2 linked regions of the Elephas maximus indicus genome follow. The protein of the gene in region 2 interacts with the protein of the main gene of each other region in a pairwise test. Links are inferred from orthologs where the notes say so. Each region holds a gene or a part of one and is shown on either strand. Other genes may lie near its edges.

What was found. The genes of interacting proteins can lie anywhere in the genome.
Region 1: the proteins of SAT1 (region 2) and CASP7 interact in binary tests that used the Homo sapiens proteins (3 or more experiments, as listed by UniProt). The two-hybrid records come from large-scale screens. The link is inferred for Elephas maximus indicus from reciprocal best matches to the Homo sapiens genes SAT1 and CASP7.

Annotation. Positions count from the first base shown.
Region 1 is NC_064834.1:64,644,380-64,648,124, reverse strand, and holds the start of CASP7 (caspase-7), read right to left. Parts: upstream 2,850-3,745; 5' UTR 2,527-2,849; coding exon 2,524-2,526; intron 1-2,523. UniProt on the Homo sapiens protein: Thiol protease involved in different programmed cell death processes, such as apoptosis, pyroptosis or granzyme-mediated programmed cell death, by proteolytically cleaving target proteins.
Region 2 is NC_064846.1:155,343,893-155,347,637, forward strand, and holds the start of SAT1 (diamine acetyltransferase 1), read right to left. Parts: upstream 2,836-3,745; 5' UTR 2,644-2,835; coding exon 2,578-2,643; intron 2,348-2,577; coding exon 2,296-2,347; intron 2,210-2,295; coding exon 2,126-2,209; intron 641-2,125; coding exon 539-640; intron 453-538; coding exon 412-452; intron 279-411; coding exon 108-278; 3' UTR 1-107. UniProt on the Homo sapiens protein: Enzyme which catalyzes the acetylation of polyamines. Substrate specificity: norspermidine = spermidine >> spermine > N(1)-acetylspermine. This highly regulated enzyme allows a fine attenuation of the intracellular concentration of polyamines.

The DNA of each region.
Region 1 (3,745 bases), on a different chromosome or scaffold from region 2:
GAAATACCACAAGTGGATGGCTTTAAGAAAGAGAAATTTATTCCTCACAGTCTAGTAGGCTACAAGGCCAAATTGAGGGCATCACCTCCAGGGGCAGGCTTTCTCTGTCGGCTCTGGAGGAAGGTCCCTGTCATCAATCTTCCCTGGTCGAGGAGCTTCTCAGCACAGGGGCGCCGGGTCCAAAGAATGCACTTTGCTCCTAGCTCTGGCTTCTTGGTGGTATGAAGTCCCCATGTCTCTCTGCTCGCTCCTCTCTATTCTATCTCAAAAGAGACTGGTTTAAGATACAATCTAATCTCGTAGATGGAGTCCTGCCTCATTAAAATAACTGCCGCTAATCCCATCTCATCAACATTGTAGGGATAGGATTTACCCCACATAGGAAAATCACATCAGATGACAAAATGGTGGACAATCACACAATACTGGGAATCATGGCCTAGTCAAATTGATATTTTTGGGGGACACAGTTCAATCCATGACAATCAGGCACAGAAAAGTGCCCCACACACGGCAGGCACTCAAGAAATATTTCTTTATGAATGTTATAACTGAAATGCATTTTTAAATCCTTTAGTGCCAGAATAAACTGCTGACACAGGACAGACAACGGAACCAAAGGGACCCAGGAGGACAGTTGAGAGTCCAGGCACGGCAATCAGCTGATCTGGGGTCAAATCAGCTCCTCCACACTCCGCCATGAAACCTCAAAGTACTCAACGTCTCTGAGTCTCAGTCTCCTTATCCGGAAAATGGGCAAACCCTGGCACCTAAGTCACAGGTGGCTGTGAACACTGTGACACGTTCTGAATGTTCAATAAGTAGCCCTATTATCATCACTGTCCACAGAACTCAAGACTAAGGAGACATTGGACCATCTACTTGCACTGGTATTTTAAAACCACGTCCATGCTTTAAACAGCTTTTGTGAAGACAGAAACAAAATTCCTCTAGTGACTCTTTCAAAACACACTTAATTACTGCCCCCATATTAGGGCAACTGGTACATATCTGGGTAAGAAATCACTTCCCAGCATTGTCTGAACTTGGATTTTTTTTTTTCATGAGGGAGAAAATGGACTCATTGCAGCTGTTTCTCCTGAAAAGCAACATGATGCAATTTGTGCTGCACTTCTTGACCAAATAAAGGCAATCTTTCTACAGGGCTCAAAGAGAAGCAGCCCTGGTGACCTTCACCTGTCACCTCTGCACCTGGGGGCAGCTCTCCTGGGCATTCAAGTGCTCCACTGTATCACCTGCTCCCCACAACACTGCCAGGAGACTTGAACCTTGCCCTCTGTTTTGCTGAGGTAACCTAGGTTTCTTCAGAGAGGCTAAGTAACCTGCCCAACACCACACAGTAAAGAGGTGCAGAAGATGGGTTCTGAATCCAGGTGTTGGAACCTGGGTTGTGATACTGAGGACGAAGGTCAGGCTGGTTGCCTAGAAGATCCTAAAGGAGGAAATAGCCCTTAAGTAAACATCACCCAGTCCAAGTGTTTCCGAGAAAAGGGTGGCGCATGACTCATCCACAGTCATGCGCAAGCAACTTGAAAACAAAACCGAAACCGAAGCCCGTTGCCATCAAGTGGATTCTGACAGACCGTATAGGCCAGAAGAGAACTACCCCACAGGTTTCCAAAGAGCGTTGGATTTGCACTGCTGACCTTTTGATTAGCAGCCCCGTGGTTAACCACTGTGCCACCATGGCTCTTGCAAGCAACTTTACTGCCCCATAAACCACAAAGCTGGGTACACTGGTGAAGGGTTGCAAGGTCGCCTGTAGCCTGGGAGTCCACAGGCCTTTTTCACCTCCTCGAGACCACTCCATGAGCCCCTGCAGCAAGGCTAGTCCGACAATGAGGGTACTAGCTTACAGGTATTGAGCCTGGACTGAGGCTCTTTTGTGCACCATCACCTCCATCCATGCCTGCAGCCACCCTCAGCCCGGGATCCCATCATTCCCATTTAACAGGCAGGCACAGACAAGGTCAAGGTCCTACAGCCGGCAAGCAGAAGTGAGGGGACTGGTTCCACCAGGCCTCTCTGACCTGGAGTCCTTGGTGTTAACTGCGGTGCCAGACATCGCACCCCTCCTTTCTAGCAGCGCAGTGGTTAAGAGCGCGGCTGCAAACTAAAGGGTCCGGCAGTTCGAATCCACCAGCCGCACCTTGGAAACCTAGGGTCGCTATGATTCGCAATCGACTCGACCGCAAAAGATTTTGCGGCCGGGGGGCAGAAGCGGGGAGGCGGGATTCTAGCAAAATCCGTATAGTATGGGGTGTCCTAAGCCCCCTGGCAAGGAGGGAAGGGAGGACAAGCTGAGCAAAGCAAGCGGGGCTAGGGGCGGGGTAAACCGTTCCCCCAAAGTTTCAACGCCTGTCGTCCGGGCCGCCCTCCCCGCTCCTACCACCACACCACCCCGCTCCTAGCTGTCTCCAAACTGCGCTCGCAACGGCGGAAACCACGCATGAAACGAGCGAGGGAGAGGGAGAGGGCAGGCGGAGGGGAGGCCGCAGTTACCATTCCCAAGGCCGTCGGGCAGCCAGAGCTAGCCGCTCCGTCGGTCACTCCGGTGCGGGGGTCTGAGGGGCCGCTGTAGCGAAAGCGAAAGTAAAAGCCCGCGTGCTTCAGGGGGAGGAGCCGCCGGGGCAGGGCGCGGAGCCGAGCGAGACTGCGGGTACCGCCCCTGATTCGGGACCCGGCGCTCCCCAAAATTGACGGCGCGCAAGATGACCTGTGTCACTGTCGAGGGGAGCGCGCACCGCCGGGGAGAGCGCGCACCATCCCCGAAGAGGGCACTCTTCGCACCCGAGAGCGTGCCTCACGAAGTCTGCGGAGTTAAATCCCGCCGTTGCGCGCACAGTTCCGGGAAGCGCTTATTCTGCAAAAGTGCCGCTTTTACAGTGACCCAGGGGAGCGCTCCCTGAAGACTCAGCGGCGCGCAAAGTGATCCGGTCGCGATGACCACCCACCCTCGGTCCCCAACGCCGCCCCCGCGGCTGCCCCTAGAGTAGGACCTCGATCTTGGCCTTCGCATCACCGCGGATACCGAGTTCCCAGAGCCAGAGGGCTCGTCCCCAGCCTGACCCTTGACCCCAGTCTGTGCTGCTCCTGTCCCTCGGGCCGCTCCGGACCTATATCTATAACAGTTACCTTCGCCCCCTCCGGCCAGCCGTGGGATCTGCTGAGGTCTTCCCGGCTCCCAGACGTTGCTTCCACTTGGAAATTTGCCCTCGTGGGCGCGAGGATGCCAGCTTAGCCTTCTCAGGTTCCAACCTTGCCACACAGCCAGTTTTGGGCGAAGCAGCTTCAGAATCTTTCAGGAAATATTTTTTGAGCGCCCCCATGCGTCAGGCACTGAGCGTGTGGCCGGGAATAAATCAAGGATAGGAGAGAGTTCGTACCCAGTGGTTCTACCTCACCCTTACCGCCTCTACCAGCCTCTCCTCCAGTCTGTCTTCACCCCTCGGCTTCCAACACCTTTCTCTCAAGACCCCTCAGGAGAGCAACTAATTAACCCAGGCACACTGACGTTGTAAATATCTGTAAAGAAATTATGGTTTTATTCATACCAAAGATATTCGCTTTAAAAAAGAACTCTCGAAGCCTTGAGACAAAGGCATGAAACCTTTATGATATGATGTCAGATAAGAACTGTATCTTTTTGTTTGCTTGCTTGCTTTTCCCTGGGCCTAAGACTTCACTGTTGTCTCTAAAATCTCACCACGTAAAGGGCATTTTC
Region 2 (3,745 bases):
AATGGGAGCTCTTTCTATTATTCCACTACAAACAGGTTAGAAAGCAAGAGAAGCTGAGAATTTTTCCTAAATAGAATGGAACTTGTCATTGTCTGCACTGGCGCTTCTCACTCCTCTGCTGCCATTTTTAGCAAGTACTCCTTGTCAATCTTGAAGAGTCTCCATCCCTCTTCGCTGGACAGATCAGAAGCACCTCTTCTTTTGTAGAAGTTGATAGATGGTTCGTTCCATTCTGCCACCAAGAAGTGCATGCTGCTGCAGCGACATTTCATAGCAACCTATTGTTAAGGGGGAGGAGGAAAACAAAACTCAGTGACATTTCACCTGCTTTCCCCAGACCTAAATTTGATTCAGTCATTAAAATAAATCCAGTAATCCTTACAAATTAAGAAGCCAAAGACTAAGACATACCTGGCTTAGATTCTTCAGAATTTCTGATCCTATGCCAAAGCCTAAAAGAGAAGTACAATTAAAAACATTTTAAGGATTTAACGCCCTATATTTCTCTTTAAACCCACTCCTCTGTACTCAGCCATACCTCTATAATCGCTCATCACAAAGAAGTCCTCAAGATACAACAGCTTGCCAATCCACGGGTCATATGTAAAATAGTACATGGCAAAACCAACAATGCTGTGTCCTGTAATAAGAGTATCACATGAGTTCTAGAGAAGAAAAATCCACAAAAGTTGTAGCTGCAAAACAGAAGCCTATCACAGGTTTTAAAAAAAACAGACATGCATATATTATAGAAACAAGTAGCCACTAAATTAAGACTGTCTCCTTTTATGATAGTGCAGCCCAGGCCACTGTTGGACAACCTCACTGTTTTCAGAACACTTATTTGCAAAAAGCACACATTAGAGCTAGTTGAAGCCAGGCTAGAACTGTGGGCTGGCCTCTCTTCAATCTGCTGGAGCTCACACTCAGGAAGCAAGAATGCTTTAATTACTTGCCAGAGCTAAACTGCTATGGTTTTTAAAGTAAACACACATATTATTCACATCCTACTGATATACTGGTATGCTGATTGGGGAATAAGTCAGGTTTACACGGCAGTTCAGAATATTAATTGTGTTGTCTGGAAACTCTGCTTCCTTAAGGTCAGATCAGGCTAAAGGTGCAACGTTTAATTTCAGAACTTGCCTTCCAATTCACACATATCCCAATTTGCTTTCCCCAGTTTTAAAGCCAGAAGCAGCAGCAGTAGCCACGAACAGCTATTATGTAACATCCATAAGTCTTAAAAAGCACCTCATTTCTTCTAGCTTGGGGAACCAACTTCAGAAAAAGCTTAAGAAATCTCCCACCCAAACAACTTCCCCTTTTAGCTCTTATCTTCTGACCAGTCAACAAGGACCAGCAAAAATATGAAAACTAAAACAAAAAAACCAAGCATCGGATTCTGTCTTAACAGGTATCCACAATTCCAAAGGGAGGCAAAGGTTTTAAATTAAACTTTCAAGCCATTTTATATTCCTTTGCAAACAAACAGGAAGCGAGTATAATGAAGTTTCTGATCTACCGTGTTTTAAGTGTGTGATAATAGGGCCTTACCTCATTTATCATGATCATCTACTTTATTGTGTAAAGGATCTTTTAGTTACCTCCCCGCCCATCCATGTACACGGAAGGGCCATGTACATGGCGAAGCTAGAGACTGTAACCTGAAGATTGGGACAAATTAAAGAAAAAAATGCAATTTAACACAATTACAAAAAAGGTTACGTTAGGGTCAAACAAGAACCATTTTATGAAACTGAATTACAACAAAAGACATTATACCTAACTTTTCTGGGTCTTCACAGCACTGATAATTAAACAGTTCTTTTCCTGCTTCCGTAAAGATTACAGCCGAAAAAACCCTAGGGGCAGTTCTACTGTCACATGACGTCTCCACGAGTCGGAAACGACTAGATGGCACCCAACAACATTAAGTGCGGCACATGTATTGTTTTTGTTTTTTCCTCCTCAGTAGTTTTCCACACTGGCTGGCTATTATTTCTGGCCAACTTCTCACTAAGTAACTTGGGCCTGGGTAGTTAGTGGTTCTACACAGCAGACACTACGTTTTACACAACACTCAGTCTCTCTGACCAGCTTCTGGAAGGGGAGGGGTGGCTACCTTCCGGAGTCCAGTGCTCCTTGGGCACTTCTGCAACCAGACAGTGGTAAAAGGGGTGCTCTCCGAAACCATCTTCTAACAGATCTGCAAGGAGGGACACAGTGTTGGCTTCGGGGTGGGTGAGAGGCACCGGACTCTTGTCCCTCCCCCCTGCCCCACTGTTGCGTTACCTTTCTCAGTTAACCTTACTTTCTCTTCCATGTATTCATATTTAGCCAGTTCCTGGGGCGAGGCACGCAGAAGAAAAAAGAGAGAACAGAAAACAAAGTGAGGCCACCGACAACTCAGAGGAAGGGGATGAGGCTCGGGAGGGGAGGGCGGCAGGAGAGGGCGGGGCAGGGGCAGGGGAACCGCCCCGGCTCTCCAGCAGCGACCCAGTCCCAGAGACCCACACTCTCCCCGGAAAGAGGCCGCCCCACCCTGGCCCAGGAGGCGCCCGAGCCGCCAGCTACCTTGATCAGCCGCAGGATATCACTGCAGTCGGCGGCGGTGGCTGGGCGGATCACGAATTTAGCCATTTTCGTCTTTTGCTTTTCTTCCCTTTGCGGACCAAGCCCCTGTACTTGAACAGCAGGAGGAGGTGGTTCCTCATTCGTCTCCCGGGAGCTTCCTTTTCTCAGTCAGGCTGGCACCATGACCCGGCGAACTTCGGCAAGCGACAAAAAACCCTCACCAGAGCGAAGACTAACGCTACGCGTAGAAGCTGCGGCCAGCGCCGCTTTTTTAGTGCGAAGGAGCCCCGCCCCGGGCCGTGAGGCGGAGGCATCTCGCCCAATGAGATCGCGGCCCTCCCCCCTGCCCCCACCCCTTTTCCCCCGGCTTCGCTCTCAATTCCGAGCCCGTGTGAGCTGAGCAGGCGCGAGCGGGGGCGGTGACCGAGAGTAGCCTGGGGCGCGGCGGCTTCGCGCAGCGGCGCTCTCTAGCGGCGCCCTCTTGCGGCGCCTCATGGAATATTCCCGGAAACCGCGCGCCCCAGTAATTTTTGCAAATAATGGAATTTCCCCTGTGTCCCCCAACCTGTGACCTTGCTGCCTTCTCCTTGGCCCGTCGGTGAACCAAATTCTGGAGACCTGGCATTGGACGGTCGGAGAAGGTCTAAGGCAGAACTATTTTCATAATAATAGTAACGTCATTTGACTTTTTAAATCTCGGAATTTTCCAAAGGTGACCCGTTGTGTGATGACGTCATCGCTCTGATGACTAAAGGACTGTGTTCGTGTATCTTGTGTTTTCTAGAACTTTCTAAGGTAAGCTGTTTAGGTTCTTCAGTTTCTTTTTCTTATTCTTGCAATTGTTTTTAGAGTTAGTGAAGTTTTTTCTTTGTTACGTATCCCCCGCCCCACTATTCCTTTTTAAATCTCTGACTTGTGGAAACTCTTTTCTTCTGCCTGAGGTACATTCTTCATAATTTCCTTCAGTGAAGGTTTGCTTTTGTCAAACTTTCTCAGTTTTGCTGAATATGTCTTCACTTCATCTTAAATTTCTTGAAGAATTTTTTTTCATTGCTTATAAAATTTGAGGTTGAAAATTATTTTCTCTTCTACATATTGATGTATTATTTGGCTATCTTTTGGCTTCCAGTGCTGTAGAAAAGTTAATTGTTTAGAAAGTTAATTGTTT